3 linked regions of the Schizosaccharomyces pombe genome follow. The gene in region 2 interacts genetically with the main gene of each other region. Each region holds a gene or a part of one and is shown on either strand. Other genes may lie near its edges.

Region 1 (4,771 bases), on a different chromosome or scaffold from region 2:
GTAATTGCTTGGTCTGTTTCTCCCTTTGTATTGCTGATCATTCGCTGGATTCTTGTTCGAAGGAACAAAAAGCGCCTTGCTCTTCTTGAGCAGAATAAAGAACAGTATGAAAAGACTTGGATTGAGACGATTGATTCTTCTGGAAATCACGTTTCCGGTTTTTACGAAAATTCTATGCTTGATTTGACAGACCAGGAGAACCTATCGTTTATTTATCCCTTATAATTATCCATTTAAACGAAGGAATAAATCTTAAAAAATAACTTTTTGAAGTATTCATGAGAAATGTTTACAAAATAATTTCAAATTCCCAACAGTCATGAAAAATCCTTCTACTATTTGCTTTTTTTTTTGCAAAATTTTGTATTTTTAAACTACTTGCCCGTAAACTCTTAACTTATTTTAGACTACTACAAGACAGTTGCTTTATTTACTTGTTTTTTTGTTTCCTTTAGGATTCCTAACCTTTAATAGTAATCTTCGTCTTTAGCGAAGAATAGTTTGAAATTTTGTTTGTATATATTGCTGAAAGCTTTATTCAGTTACTATTTACATAGATTGAAAAGAAGAACTAGCATTCATTGCTAAATAAAATGGAGGTCGATTTTTATCCCCAATGGTTTCTCATAGTTTACTTTGCTGCAAAGTTGCGATTGAAAAAGAGATGTTCTAAAAAAGTATTTTTATATCAATTATAAAGCCTAATACGTAGGGGAAATCCAAACCAGTTAAATTTTTCAGCTCGGCTTTGCATTCCATCTGATAATTTTCGCTGTAGATTATCATATTTAAAAAACATTGAATCAATTGGTAACTTAGCATATATACGTTGATAGATGAAATCAGCTATTATTAGATTTTATAATCTTTAAACTGTGGTGTTTAATAAGTAAAAGACTGGAAATAGCCCATTAAATTAAACAATTAGCTGAACCCGAGTTCCATATTTGCAATAAGTTTTTTACCATTAATAAACTGCTATGTGGTGTTTCATTAACAGTAAAAAATTATTGTAAAATTCAATATCATGAATAATCATTAAAGATTGTGCTTAGCTGGTTTGAACAAACCGACGTTTTCGGCAACAAAATCGTCTGGGGCTGTTACTACTCCAGTTTCAGCTTCGTAGACCAACCAATACTCGATGAGTTCGTTTAGAATATCTGGATGGACTTTCGCTAGATTTTCAAGCTCACCTTTGTCCTGGGAAAGATCATACAGCTCCCATTCTGTTTTTATTCCTTCTTTAGGTACATATATTGCCTTATAATTTCCTTTTCTGATAGCTCTTTGCCCGAAAAGTTCCCAGCCGCTAAAGTCAGTATCTTTGTGTACGGGTTTTCCATGCACAAAATGGTCAATCCAAGGTTTCCCACGGGGGATTACAACATCTCGTCCTTGAAATTTGTGCCCTGGGTGAGGGACTTCTGCTAACTCAAGGATGGTTGGCAGGATATCCATAACCGTAACAAACTCATCGGAGATGATGTCTGGCTTGATCAATGGAGGATAGCGAATTATAGCAGGACATCGAATACCACCTTCTGTAATAAAACCCTTGCTAAGTCGAGAAGGAGCGGTCGCAGCCTGTGCCCATCTTGGTCCGTACCAAATAAATGAATTATAATTACCCAAGTTTTCCAGTGAATTGTCAAAATACTTAACCGGTGGTTTTGTGCTTAATACCGGGATTGCTTCCAAAACTGACCCTTCTGCACCGTTGTCTGACATAAATATAACAAATGTGTTGTCAAGTTCTCCAATAGTTTTCAAGTAGTCAATAACACGACCAATATTCAAATCTAATAATTCGACCATTGCAGCATAAACTTCCATCGTTCGCGCAGAAAATTCTTTCTCTTCTGTTGTTAGTTCGTCCCATGACTTGGTTCCCATTCCATCTACAGGTGCTGGAATTACATTTTCTGGTATAAGTCCCAAATCCTTTTGGGCTTGCAAGCGATTTTTTCGTAACACATCGGGGCCTTCACTATATCGTCCACGATATTTATTAATATATTCTTTTGGTGATTGCAACGGCCAATGAGGTGCTGTAAATGGGAGGTAAGCAAAAAATGACTGGGATTTTTCACGATTTTTTAACTGATCAATTAATTTTTCTGCAAAGTAATTGGACGAATAAAAATTTTTTAAGCTTTTGTGATCAACAGGATCATGATTGTGGGTATACAATGGTGGTAAAAAAGGTACAGCAGGGTTTTCTCTAGTACCAGGTTCATATGCAAAATGATTACCACCTCCAGGTAAAAGTGCAAAAGATTCTTTAAATCCTCGCTTTGAAGGGTAACGATCTGGGGTTAGTCCAAGGTGCCACTTTCCAGACATTGTGGTATAGTAACCCGCTTCCTGTAGAATCTCTGGTAATGCAGCAACTCTATCATTTAGGTAGCCTTCGTACCCAGGCTTTCCACCCCATACTTTCGAAAACCTGCGTACTGTCTCTGCCATTTGCCCTAAACCTGCTATGTGATTGTCTGTACCGCTTAATAACATAGATCGAGTAGGCGAGCAAGCAGAGGCTGTATGAAAGTTTGTCAACCGTACACCTTCCTTTGCAAGCCTCTCAATATTTGGAGTGTGTATTTCACTTCCAAACGGAGAAACATCTGACCATCCAAGATCGTCAGCTACGATGACCAAAAAGTTTGGTTTTTTAGATTCAGCTTGTTTATTAAAAGCCATAGTTACTATTCAAATTTTTTTTGATTGCGAATAAATTTTTATGCAGCTCAAACTGTAATTTTTATTTTATGTTCATAAAGGGCATGTGAGACAAGAGACAGCCCACAAGTTGATTAAAATATGAAAAAATATATTTGCAACAATTGTCTTCCGTAATAGATTGCAAAATTACAAATACCTAATGAAGAAGTATGGCGTGCTATCACGTAAGCTTTGAGTAACATCATCCATATTAAAAAAGATACTCATACATTCCAATTTACTGGATCAAACTGTAATTTACTTATCTGAATATTTTAGAGATAAGATTCAGTAAATCAAGTTTAAAACTAATTACTGTCACTCACTCAATATGTGCAAAACTGAGTTTACTGACCAGGAATTGACTTTTTTTTTTTATTTATCAAGGAAATATTAATTGAGTTATCAATCCCAAAGGAAAATATGTGAAAATATTTAAACACTCGCCAAATTATATTAATTGATCTTTATATCAATAAATGCTTTACTCTAGAAAAAATCGGTTTCGGTAATATACTACAAAGGAACCTAAATAGATTTTGAAGCTTTATACATATAAGAAAACATTAATTTTCTAAAAGATACCAAATGATAATTAACAAGGACGTCGATTTTCGTTATTTTGAACTTTCAACGAGAAATGTCAGTGGAAGATTCAACATATTTTCTATGAGATAAATTAGATATAATAACATTTTGCTTTTGACAATAACTGAGAAAAATCATATTTATACCTAGATTTGTTGAGTGATACGAATTTCATACAATTTAATGGGGGTAAACTGCGATTAAAATTACGTTTTGGTCCTTTGTATTGTCTTATTGATATGAAATATCAGACACGAATATTTTCATACTAAGTGGTAATAATTAATTTACAACTGACCTCGGATTCTCTTTTCGTTTGAAATTAAAATAATACTTAATTATTACAATTGGAATTTAATAATCTCGATTAGTGGACGTAATATATATGAAGATATGAAGAGTATAAAAGTATCGAGATGTATCATAATAAAGCTTAATGCTATATATCTGAAGATTTTTTTCTTGGTAAATTGTTTCCGTAACTAAGGGCCGTCCAATAATTAGACTTCCTAAGTTCAAAAATAGTGGACCAATTGTTAAAAAATACAGATAAAGAACATCTTAAGACATTCACAATATACAAAAACAACTTGTTTCAATTGTAGGAACTTGTAAAGTTAAAGGATTAAGTTGTTGTACAGAAAGGATCTTTGCGTAATGTTGGATCCGAGAAAAGATGTAACATTCTCAAACAATCCATACATCATTTCCCTTCAACGCACTTTTGGTACTATCAATTGCAATTATAAGTGAATTCAAATTATATCAAAAGAGTTACGTAAATTCATATTTATCAGATTTGGTCTGATATTATGTTAAAGTGTAAACTTATTGAGCAGCACCCACTATTTTCTTTTTACTCATTATTATATCGGATGTATTCAAACTTGGTTTACATTTAAATAGTAATAGCAAATCGTTTTAATTACAAATTAGAATTTACACGTGTTAAGTTGTCATTGTTACTCGGTAAATGCATCCTAGATTATGACTATAATAATTTTGTTTAAACATTCCTTTTCTTAGCATGTTTTCATTTGTGTTCGATGGGTAAAAAGCTAATAATATTATTATAAAATAAGCTGTATTATAATAATAGGTTGTCTGAGCCGAAGCAAGTAATTGTGCTAACTACATTCCCATATACGCTTATTATTGCAAGGAATTTTAAATGACTTGGAAATGATTAAAAAGCAAAATTAATTGGCTGTTCACTTTTATATATAATGTAGCGGCATGTAAAGTGCTACTAGTATAGGCATATAAATATTTATTTGAGCGGACATCTTTTTTTAACTATAGTACTTGGAAAAATCGTATACGGTGGATCATTAGCTGATTAAACCAGAAATATTACAACTTAGTTCAACAACGCATTATTGAAAGTGAAAGCGAGTCCTCAGATGAGCAACATGAAGTATATCAAAATGGTATTATCTACGATACTGATTAAAAGGAT
Region 2 (6,051 bases):
CCATATAGGAAATGCGAATATCCACAAGGTGACTTAAAGCTCCTTCATCTTCGGGAGTAATCATTTCAGACAAAGACAAAACATTCTTCATAGCGGTCAACCAGAACTCAGGAATACCCTTAGTATCATCACCACCTTCTTGTTTCTTAGACTCAGAAGAAGTAGGTTCTTTCTTTTCGTTCTCATCGGCAGCTTCACCCTTCTTAATTTCCTCCTCGGTAGGTTCGTCAGCGCCACGAACAACCTCAGATCTTCTCTTAAAAATAGGTGCGTACTTCTTTGCATAAGCTTTTTCCAACTCAAACAGCTCTTTTTGGAATTGAGACTCCAAGTCGCTGTATCGCTTTTGCAAACCACGAAGTCCAGAAATCCTTCTTTGCACGGCTTCAGGCAATTCTGAAACTCCTTCTGAAGTGAGATGTAATAAAGAACCCAATTTTCCGTCGATAGCCTCTAAATTCTCATCTCCTTCGTCAATAGTATTTACTTGAGGAGCCTTCGCACCAAAGTTGGGAGCGCTCGTCCCCGATGGGGTGTTATGGGGAGTTGGGGCGGCAGACATTTTTCCGGCCCTTTTGTTATTAATATTAACGTTCTCTACCATATTAATTCTACTTGTTCCAGCAATCAATTATGCTTCAGACGCTTTCCGTACGTCCTTTTAATAACACTGGGAAGGGTAGTGGTAGAAGCTAAGTGTAAGAATATTTGCTGCACCCTGGGAATCTACCTACCCGCGGAACTTCCGAGCTCATCCTCGGGGTTTCCGACCTTAGTGAACAGTGCATCGTTGTGTTACGGACACTTTCTTTATTCCCGAAGGGGGTTTTTAAAAATAAAATTCGATGAATTTAGGCTCATAGTTAATATTATTTATATTTTTAAGACTAGTAAAGATCAGGAAGAGCTGAATTAACTGTAGAAGAAAGCCCTTTATATTCTAACAACATTTTGAAGCTAGAATCTTTTTGTCTCATTGAAATTATTCTATCATTAAATTAAACATCAGTCGAATAAGTATCGAAAATTGAGGTAAAAACTTTGCTGAACCAAAGGTTACTTTTTAAATGTTACTGGGTTAAATTTCGTTTTTGCCCAAGGCTACATTACGACGATTAATAGCCATGAACAACTCTTCCAAATTTTGAGACAACGACTTCTCAAGTGTTAAACGAGTTTGGGATTCATTCAAACGCTCAGCATTTCTTTTTTGCAATATACACAAAAAATCTGCTAATAAGTTAAGATTCCAATGATCTGGAATTTGCTCGCACACGTAGGAAAGCGTATAAGAAAAGGGTCGACGATACAATAGTTCTTTAATAAAATCACTACATCCATCTCCTGTTGATATACATTTTTCGAGCAAATTGCACCAACACTGAGGATAAACATCATCAATTTGAAGACAGTATGCTTCACCGCCCTTATAGTCATGAATATTCGTAACCAAAACGGATAAAGCTTTTTCATAATTCTTCTTCCTTTTGTAAAACGAGTGTTCAAGTTGAGGAAATAGATATAAATTGTCAACATGAATGTCGAACAAAATATCTTTTATTTTATCTATAGATTCTTCTTCAACATTTTCCATCAGATTAATAGAACACAAATAGTAAAATGAAAGATGAGTACTGAAATCACTCATGTCCCCCCAAAGTTGTTCCAAGTATTGGGCATACGTAGGTTTCTCCATGCAAGGAAGCTCCCTAAATGTTTCAATGGCAGTCTCAAGGCGATTTTTAAAATCGTTATGATCCAATAAACTGCCAAGCAACTTATTAACGCACAACTTTAAAAGTAGCGCTCGATGAGTGACGGAATTCGACTTTACAAGGTAATCAATCAAAACATCATCTTGAGAAGAATCCAAATGCTCTAACACGTCCTCTGCAGAAATGGATCCACTAACTGTTTTGTCAAGCAAAACGCGCGTACCCTCCGTTGCATCGTGTTTACAAAGCCATGTAGTAAATTCCCAGAATGTCGAAGGCTCAATATCATTAACCAAATATTCTCGTATTTTAATTAACCCATCGTTGAATCTCCGATCTTCATAATCCCCTGTTATTAATTTCTTCCAAGTTTGAAGAACACCATCGTGATCCCTTACAGTAGCCAATAACACGGAGAGTAAATAATACTCTTTCTTCTGTATCAACACATCTTTTATATCTTCAACACCAGTTAGACCAGACTCTAACAACTCCTTAGCATTTTTGGTACCGGCGGCTAAATCATCCATATTTAAATAAAGGAGTAATAACGAATGCTCTACAGCAAGCATCACGTCTCTTTGCGAAGATAAAAGATACTCAGATATGCTCGTGTTCTTTTTGTAATTTTTCAGATAACGCATCAACATGATGTATGCGTTTTCCTTAGTAATTTCAATCATTTGTCTCTGAGTGTATTGATCAGTATCACGAAACAATTCATTAGATTTTAAAACATTAGCAACAGTATCATCGACGGACAATATGCTTTTGCGAAAACTAATGACACCTTGAAAAGCAATATAGGAAAGCTCCGAATGATAGAGATCTGGATAGAGGGAGATAACTACGCGAGGATCAATTTTGGAAGTTTCAAGCAAAGAGAGAGAATTTTCATACTGTCCTTGCTTCCAATACTGTAATGCCGAGATTTGCTCCAAATAAGCAGATTGAAGATAAGCGACATCATTGGTTATTCCATACTTCTTCGGATTCCGCAATCGCTTACTCACTCGACGCAGAGGGGCTTCAATATCGCCTATGGTAATACTGAATTCTAGTTTGTTCATAAAATGAGCTTCAGCGCCAAACCCCCAAGATTTATTCGTAAGAAAAATAAATGAAGGCTTGCTAAAAGAAGCCCTTTCTATCGTATCAGAAGTTTTTGAGGTAGACGCAGTATTCACAGCAGAGAATTTACTAAATATTTGGCGATCACAAAAATGAACGCTTGTCAATCGAGAAATAAAAGAGAAACTTTCATCATCCTTCAGATTAATACTTTTAACAAGACTGAGAGTATTTATGTCGATGATCTGTAACGAACTAGAAGAAATGGCGAACACATAATGAGATGTAGAAAAAACATGTTTTGGATAAAATGAAAAAGTTAGAGTGCTTCTTGTGACATTCCCTTGGGAATCTACAAAAAGCCCTATGGCATCTTTGGGACTACCGGTAATCAAGAGAAATTCATTAGAATGCAAAACAATCATGGGTTTGTACATTAGCCCATTATTTTCCGAATCGTATTTGATAATGGGAAAGAGGGGAGTAGTATCAAAGGTGAGAATATCCAATAATTCAAAGGAATTTTCGGTAACTAGACAAACGATATGACCATTCACACGAGCAGTTTGAATATTGGGGTATTTAAGTTCCTTGTTTATTGTTAATTAGCGCTTTTATGAAGTAAACAATTTAGCATCTAACATACATTTTTGACTAGTATGATTCCATCTTTTTGAAATGAGATGAGCTTTAAATGAGTATTGGTCACAATTAAATATGTGCTTTTCTCGTCAATACGTTGGCCTGGATGACAGAATTCCACCAAGCCTTTAAAGGAGATGGAAGGGTAAAGCTGAGTCAAATCATCTTCCTTGTATACTTCTGCGAAACTACCTACCACCGTTAATTGGTATTCCAAAGTTATCGTAAACCACACATAGCTTACCATGATGAATAAAAACTGCGCCAAGAAAAGGCATTGCAAGAATTCGGTTTACACGAGATTTCGACACCAACGAAATCTTCTTTACAAGCTCTGGTGATTCATTTAACTAATACGCGTGTTAATGCAAACAACCCTGTGCAACACACGAATAAACACAAACCTGGAAATTTGAAAAATTATAGAGGAATACATCACCACCTTCCGTTCCAAAGTATAGATGGTTATCTAAAAAAATCAAATAGTTAGCAATATAGCCCCGGATGCTTGCCTTACTATAGAGCGCAATGGTAGTTACAGGGGAATCCAATTCTTTAGGAATTGCTGACTCATGCAGCTCAATATCAGACATTTGTAAATTTTGAATTAATGAAAAGATTCATTAAACAATTATATTCATGAAAAAGCCCTTTGTAAGTGTATCTGTTGCGTTAATATGGTTACTTTCAATATGAGTAGATCTGGGTAGCGTGTAACCCATAGTAAACGAAATGTTATGATATAGAAAGAAAGTAAATTTAGAATTTCTGCTAATTTAAATAAAAATTAGATTCTATTACAAAACTAACTATTCAAATACGTGGAATCCTTATAGGAGATTCTCTTCCAATCTTAATCCATAGTAATTCTAAGTTAACTTGCAAGCATCCTGGGAGTTATAGCAATTTGAGATAGCCTCACAGAGTGAAATAGCAGGAACTATAATAATTGCACACAGAAGTGATTGTATGTTTGTTGACTGACTTAATTTCAAGTCTCTTCGAAAATTAATTGACTGAATAATTTGATAGCTGATCTAAAAAGATTGGCCTTTTGTCAATAGGCTTTGCATTATTCCCAAAATACAAGGCTACAAAAGCAAAATCAATACAATATACAATCACTTTTCCAATCGAATTAAGCGCCTAATACATATTACTCATTTCCATAAAAACAAATTCTTATAGCGAAGTGTTTAATGGAACGTTGTGTAACTCCCAATTCACTATTTCAGCACGCTGACATCGCGCTATTTCATTGAAATGCTAAGCACAAAACAAATACTAAACATTAGTCATTTTAGTGTTTCGTTTTAATAACTTGCAACATAATGGCAGTTGCTTCAGAAGCTTTACTCCAAAAGCTAACGGAGTCATGGAAAAGTTCGTGGTGTTTTGAATTTTTAAGCAAATAGCAAAGTTACTAACGTGAGATAATAGATTCGCGGTTTGAGGAATTACAACGGGAAGCAGATGAAGCTGCAGCAGAAATTGAGAAGATGCAAAAGACATCTTTGGATGAAAGGAAAGAGCTTTCGTCAAAAACGAAGGGTATGGTGTCTATTATTGCAGCATACCTAGTATACATTAACCCTTGCTAATATTGTTAATATACAGAATTTCGCAAGCAGCCTGATGAAGTCAAGCTAGGCGAAATGAAGGGCCTTTTAAAGCTTTATCAGTCTGGAATCGATTCTTTGACCAAACGAGCAAAGTCCGCTGAAGCAACATTCTTTCGAGTGTATGAAACACTAGGCGAGGTTCCTGATCCCTACCCTTTGCTGATTGAGGCTGCGAACAACCTTAAAACTCAAAAACAGATTGAAGATTTAAAAAAGGAAAAGGAAGAAATGGAAGGCTCGCTACAGGGTAAGGAAAAGCTGGAACGTGAAGTGGAAAATTTACGAAAAGAGCTTGACAAATACAAGGACCTTGTAGAGACTGAAGCGGAAAAGCGTGCCGCAATCACAAAAGAAGAATGCGAAAAGTCTTGGCTTGAGCAACAAAAGCTATATAAAGACATGGAACAGGAAAATGCTAGTACGATTCAAAAATTAACTTCAAAAATTCGGGAATTACAAGCATCACAACTAGATCATGATTTACAGGCCAGTCAGAATGAATCAGCAGGGTTGGACGTTAATGCCAAATCTGCCGAAGTGAATGCTATTCTTTCTGAATTGGATGATGCTAACAAAATCATTGTCGAATTGCAAGCAGAAATTGCTGTGCTCAAGCAAAACACCAAAGAGCAAAAGAGCGGGTCGTCACAGGATGACCTGAGTAACCAGCAGAAACAACAATTGGATTTTATGGATTCTCTTAATAAAAAATTGTCTACTGAATTGGAATCAATAAAGGAAGCATCAAGAAAAGAAATGGAAACACATTGTGCCACCATTCAAACGCTGGAAAATGAAGTTAAAGAGGCCCGCAAAGTTAAAGAAGAAAGCTTAACATTGGCCAATAAATTTTCGGATTACGACGAGATTAAACGAGAACTATCTGTTTTAAAACAAATTGAATTTAGTGGAGAACATGCGACTCATGAAAACACTTCTCTAGAGTCTCAATTACTCAAGCGCGAAAAGCAACTATCTGAGGAGTTGGCCAAGCTACGCTC
Region 3 (5,622 bases), on a different chromosome or scaffold from region 2:
CTATCGGTAATTACGAAGACAAAAGCTGATTATATGTACAACACATTCACTGTGCTTTCTTCAAATTTTAAATTAGTGCTAAAAAAACATTGGTTTAATCGTAAGGTATATTTTGTTTAGTCAAGGTTAATTTCATTTAATACCCGATAAGATTAAAATCTAATCACAACAAAGGTGTAAGCTACAAAAGAACTTTTTAATAAGAAACAAACATTATAATTCCATTTAAATATACCTAATTTCGTGGTTACTATTCAATATGAAACCACAACATACCTGTCTTTTGTAAGGCCATGTTGCAAGTCTTCTAAAAAAATATAAAGAATAAAAAGACACATGGAAAAGACCATTCCATATCAAATAAGTAACGTTTACAAAAATATGCTATAACCAAGATAAATAGCACAGTTGTTTGATAAACTTATTATTAAGCTTAGTTTTTCTCCAATGAGCACAGCAATAAATATTCATTGTTCTTAGAATCATAGTAGCCCAACGGACCTTTTTCACAATCAGCACAAGCAAGTAATTTATAATTATTTGCTAAGGGTTTTGATACGCTAACGTTGTCGAAAGCAAACGGATCTTTTAGAAGAAAAAAATCGTCAGTTTCTAGATCTTCTTGTGTTTCAGAATGCAGCATAGCTGACATTGTTGGCCTCTTAACAACATCTGGACGTTTGTTATTAAATACGACTGAAGGGCAATGTTGACAAACAATTCGCAAATTCGACATAATTTAGGAAAACAATATGGTGGTAGTTAGTTAGTAGTAAGCGCCAATCAGCGTTTTTTGTGGATATAACCTATTAAAAAAATAAAAATACAAGAGAAAACTTTTAAAAGTTTAAATGCTAATTACAAGTTCTTCAAATTTAATTCAATACATGTAGCATTCATTTCCAAAATAGGTACTGACGTGTCTAGTGCAATGAAGATATGGAAAACAATGTTTTGCATTTTGACGATAGAAGCAAATCAATAATTAGACGCTGAAAACTTCTTTTTTTTTGACATGCTATTTGGTTTCATAAATTAACATGGCCTGGTTTTCACTATATTTAAACTTCACCACATAATTAGTAAGTTATTATAAAAGAAAACGCAAAAAATTTTTATTTGCTCGTCTAATGTGTTCTTGAATATTGTCTTTCTCTTAATGTTAAACGAGACATATCAGTTCGCCTGATGCATTGGTTCATATAGTAGTTATTTTCAAATTTAGAAATTCGGACACATAATTCTTCTATCCTTCTATGTTAAATACAGAACCTTTTTCTTTCTACTCAATTTGCTTTCCGTGTTGCAACCTTGACACATACTAAAACTTTGTACACAGTGGTTTTTGAACTTTCTTCTAGTAACTAAAATTTTAGAAGTACGGCATTGAAAGAAATATTGTAATCAAACTTTGAATGTGTGCAGACTGCAAAATTGGGAAATTAGCTTGGCACTTGCAATTTTCAATGTAAATGTGTAGGAATCGTGTGCCATCCCTTCAATTGTCTAATATTTTAATTGAAATCTATAGAACTACGCTATTTTTGCTCGAATTATTGCTACTATGATTACTTTGTCTAAATCCTTAATAAAAAGAAGTATTCTTGATTAGCTCCGTGAACTTCTCGATTCAGTTATGTGACAAAGAATATTATTAGCTTCCAAATATTGAAATATTATTATTTTATTAACTAAATGAGTTTCTAAGCCAAGTCAATTTATCAATCATCGTTATTGTTATTGTTGAAATAATACAAAAAATATAACGCATGCTATTGATTCTTAACCAAATGTATTAATCACCTAAAATTTGTCAACCACTAACTGATATGATTAGACTAAGCTCAACTTCAACTTATACTCTCTTTATAGCAATATTTAAGTTGCATGAACATCCGACGTTATTAAATATTTTAGTATGAAGATAATATTATAGCTATTCACTAAAAAAATATTTCATAACTGAAACTAGTGCCTCATTTCATTTAAATTTCTAATTATAGGACCTCAAAAAATAAAACAACGTTTTACTGTATGGTTAATACTATGGAACCAGAAATGTGTCAAATTAAGGGCATACTTAATGAAGGAGGATAATTGGCAGCTTAACGTATCATAACGTATACCCTTATTACTGTTAGTAAAATACTCACAACCCAACATCGTAATCGATTTTTCGGCTCTATGACATATTGTCACTAAAATAGAGGATCCGCTTTCACGAGGTGGAGATTTCTATCTCATCTCGTACACTCATATTTTGGCAAACGTCCAAAATTGGAGCAATTCGGAGCATTTGATACGAAAGGATATTTGACACGATTGTGTATCACTATTACAAATCTTAATATTTTTATGCAATATTAGTATCTCGTTGTGCATTTCTCTCGTTTCTGACAGCATCCAGTATTGAGTTTGTATCTTTTGCTTCCTATACTGTAATACCTATTTCTATAATTATTTCTGTCTTAGACTTAAGACTTTATTTTTGGTTGTAAAGGATTGTGAATTTAGAGCACCACACTTTCTTTCTTTCTTTTTTTTGTGCTTCGGAATCGTGCCTTGTCGTAACACTAGTGCGAGAATCCAAGGTCGGACAATTTTTTTTTTGTCCTTTGAGTACTATTATTATTAATTCTTTTCAAATCTTTGAATTTTGCAAAATACTTCATTCTTTTTGGTCCGCATACTGACAATCTATGTTTGTGTAAGTCCGGAGTATAGTAGTATTCACTATTACTATTATTTTCCCTTAATTGGTTTTCTCTTTTAATCATTATTATTATTGGCATTGCCATTATCTAACGGTGCTTTAATTTTTGTTTTATTATTCAATTTGTCTGAACATCTTCCTCATGAATTTTAATTCTACTAACCCTTATTATTTTACTCATGAAAAAAACCTTAACAATGCTTCTAAGTACTCTGAACTCCCAATTGCTTATCAGGAAATTCCTTTGCAATCTTTACCACCTTATCCCAAGGTTGCTTCAAAGTTGAAGGGCGTAGTTGCAGGCGGAAAAGAAAATAACATTGCATCTTTTCAAAAACCTTCTTCAAAAGCCACTCGACCATATATACCTTCTTATACTAGATTGACTTATTCTGTTCCTCCTCTTCCCATACCTCCTCCTTCGGAGCAATCTTTGGATACTATTATATATCGAAACCCTTCTGTATCTTCTTCTCAGTCTCAAGAACCGGAGGAGTTTTTCTTACCCCTAGATGATGGAAAGAAACCTCCTTATTCCTATGCTATGTTAATTGGAATGTCAATAATCCGTTCTCCCGATCGTCGTCTCACTTTAAGTGCTATATATGATTGGATCAGCAATACTTTTTCTTTCTATAATAAGTCCAATAACGGTTGGCAAAATTCCATCCGCCATAATTTAAGTCTAAATAAGGCATTCATGAAAATTGAACGTCCTAGAAATTTACCGGGGAAGGGTCATTTTTGGAGCATTCGTCCTGGTCATGAAGAACAATTTCTAAAACTAAAGCTGCGTAAACCAGGAGTAAATTCAAGACCAGCGCCTCCTGTTCAAGACGTTACCTCCTCTACAAAATATGGATCTTCTACCGGTTCCTCTGGATTTAACACGTTTAATACTTCTCCCCATATATTTAATCAGCGACATCAATATCTTCAGAATTATTATACTGCATCCTTAACGAACATTCCGACGATCTCTAATGTTAATGCCACAAATTTTCATCCTCTTCATAGTCAACAACCCTATGTAGATACCCCTGGTATCGATGCACCTTCTGATTTGGAAGCTAAGTTTTCCGATTTGGGTGTTTCCTCTGTCGTATCTGTAACTTCTCCTTTACAATCATGTACAAATTCTCCATCTCCTCCTTTGTCATCACCAGCATCCAGTGCTTCTCCATCTGAATCACTTAGGAATGAATCTTTGGGAATAAAGTCAGCTAAATCATTGGGTTTGAATAAAGATGATGCACCAGTAGAAGGTCCACCTGTATCACATTTGGAGAAGGATGTTGAAACCCCTTCAGTTCATGATTCCGTGTTGGGTTTTAATGACACTGTAACGAATCTCGGCAAGAAAGGTTTAAAAGATGGTACAACTAATACCCTACAGATCCCTGCAGTCCGTTTACCTTCTTTACCTAGCTCGCCTACCATAAAAAATCCCAGTGGACTTTTGCTAAAGCGATCAAATTCTATTGATTTTCCAACCCCCCCGAAGGCCTTGTGTCCTAAATTGTTTTGCTTTCGTGATGACATCGTGGCTGATGACTACACTAAGTTTTCTTTACTTTCACCCATCCGTTCTGATATGAGTGGTATCTCAGCAAGTCCGAATACAAATTTGAAGGAGCATCGAACTCGTATCTTGCAAATGCTGGCTACACCTGATGCAAAGCAATTATCATCTTTAACATCATCTGATGCAGAGTTTTGGTCAGTCACGCCTTTGAAGTCTTCAATTCTACGTAATGGAGATGCATCTAAACAAGTAACGCTATCTGAAAGTCCTAAAGGTGATAGCTTACTTGATGGAGGATCATTATCTTATTTTACCAATAACATTAGTTCCGTTGCCGGCTTAGAAACACCAAGCAAGCTACCCATGAGCAAGTCGTTTGATACCTTTGAAGATGATTTTTTGGATCCCATGGATATGTTGAGTTTTGAAAATCACTTTTCCGACTTTAATAGCAATCGAAAAGTGTCTCCTGTTAAACGTGAGGTGCGTAGAAAATATATTTCTTCAGCAACTACTATTCATTCTTCAGCCGCGCAAGATGATACTTACTTGCCTTCTCCTACCAAGAGGAAAATGCCACTTCTTCGTCAAACTTCAACACTATTCTAAATTTGTTTTAGCACTTATCTACTTTTTATCCATGCTTTATTTAATGTGATATTTCTTCGTTCTAGTTAAAGACTGCTATGGGAATTCCTAATTTTACACATATCTTTTACCTTGGTTGCTTAATAAACTTTCAAACCCCCGATGTTACTTGTTCATTTGCGTGCGCAATTTTTTTAAATTTACGAAAGCTTTTAATTTATATCCGGCGAATTGTTCTCCCAGTTGCATATCTAATAGTCACATTAGCAATATAAAGCTTTATGAATATTTCGTAAACATAGTATACGCTTATAGCGTTTAGAAGTTTATCTCTTGTGTTATGTAAGAGTTGTAGATTAAACGTAATTTTATTTGTGGTAACCTATCTAAAACTTATATGACAAGTATTAGTTCCAAAACCCAATTTATTTATTTTATATATTTTTGTAACAAGTAGCCAATAAAGGTTTAATTTCCAAAATCTTTTATTTTGTCAAAACACACATTTTTCTAAAATTATTCCCCAACCGCAATAAATATACCTTTTTTAGTTTGCAGGAGAATCGACTACAGGGGTGAATATGTCAAAAGAACCGGTGCCAAAGTTACCGACTCGACCAACGACTAACCGAGATGAAGGATTGGATAAGTCATCAACATCACCACGGAGGGCGGCCTCAGTCAAAAAGTGACAAGTGGTCTCAAAAGACATTTTCGCAAATGGAGAAGTGTTATATTCTATTCCCATTCTATTGAAGGCTTTGTATCCTCCCTCGAAAGTCATATAATCTGCAAT

The links. A genetic interaction does not mean that the proteins touch.
Region 1: mutations in vps3 (region 2) and SPOM_SPBPB10D8.02C together harm fitness more than expected from each alone (negative genetic interaction), as found in Schizosaccharomyces pombe (one large-scale study listed by BioGRID).
Region 3: mutations in vps3 (region 2) and sep1 together harm fitness more than expected from each alone (negative genetic interaction), as found in Schizosaccharomyces pombe (one large-scale study listed by BioGRID).

What each region holds. Positions count from the first base shown.
Region 1 is NC_003423.3:82,729-87,499, forward strand, and holds SPOM_SPBPB10D8.02C (arylsulfatase), read right to left. Parts: upstream 2,791-4,771; 5' UTR 2,704-2,790; coding exon 1,039-2,703; 3' UTR 501-1,038; downstream 1-500. Other genes in the region: SPOM_SPBPB10D8.01 (cysteine transporter), read left to right, coding at 1-225.
Region 2 is NC_003421.2:474,968-481,018, forward strand, and holds vps3 (GTPase regulator Vps3), read right to left. Parts: upstream 4,095-6,051; 5' UTR 4,022-4,094; coding exon 3,946-4,021; exon of another isoform or gene 3,898-3,945; coding exon 3,833-3,897; exon of another isoform or gene 3,779-3,832; coding exon 3,673-3,778; exon of another isoform or gene 3,621-3,672; coding exon 3,433-3,620; intron 3,377-3,432; coding exon 1,079-3,376; 3' UTR 816-1,078; downstream 1-815. Other genes in the region: histone H2A-H2B chaperone Nap1, read right to left, coding at 1-604; coy1 (CASP domain-containing family protein), read left to right, coding at 4,760-4,811, 4,869-4,979, 5,046-6,051. UniProt on the Schizosaccharomyces pombe protein: Required for sorting and processing of soluble vacuolar proteins.
Region 3 is NC_003423.3:3,132,720-3,138,341, reverse strand, and holds sep1 (DNA-binding forkhead transcription factor Sep1), read left to right. Parts: upstream 1-2,237; 5' UTR 2,238-2,855; coding exon 2,856-4,847; 3' UTR 4,848-5,122; downstream 5,123-5,622. Other genes in the region: dss4 (guanyl-nucleotide exchange factor), read right to left, coding at 434-736; DNA-directed RNA polymerase I complex large subunit Nuc1, read right to left, coding at 5,374-5,622. UniProt on the Schizosaccharomyces pombe protein: Required for promoter sequence element PCB-driven, M-phase-specific transcription. Acts as a transcriptional activator with a role in the regulation of mitosis. Regulates septation and the periodic transcription of cdc15.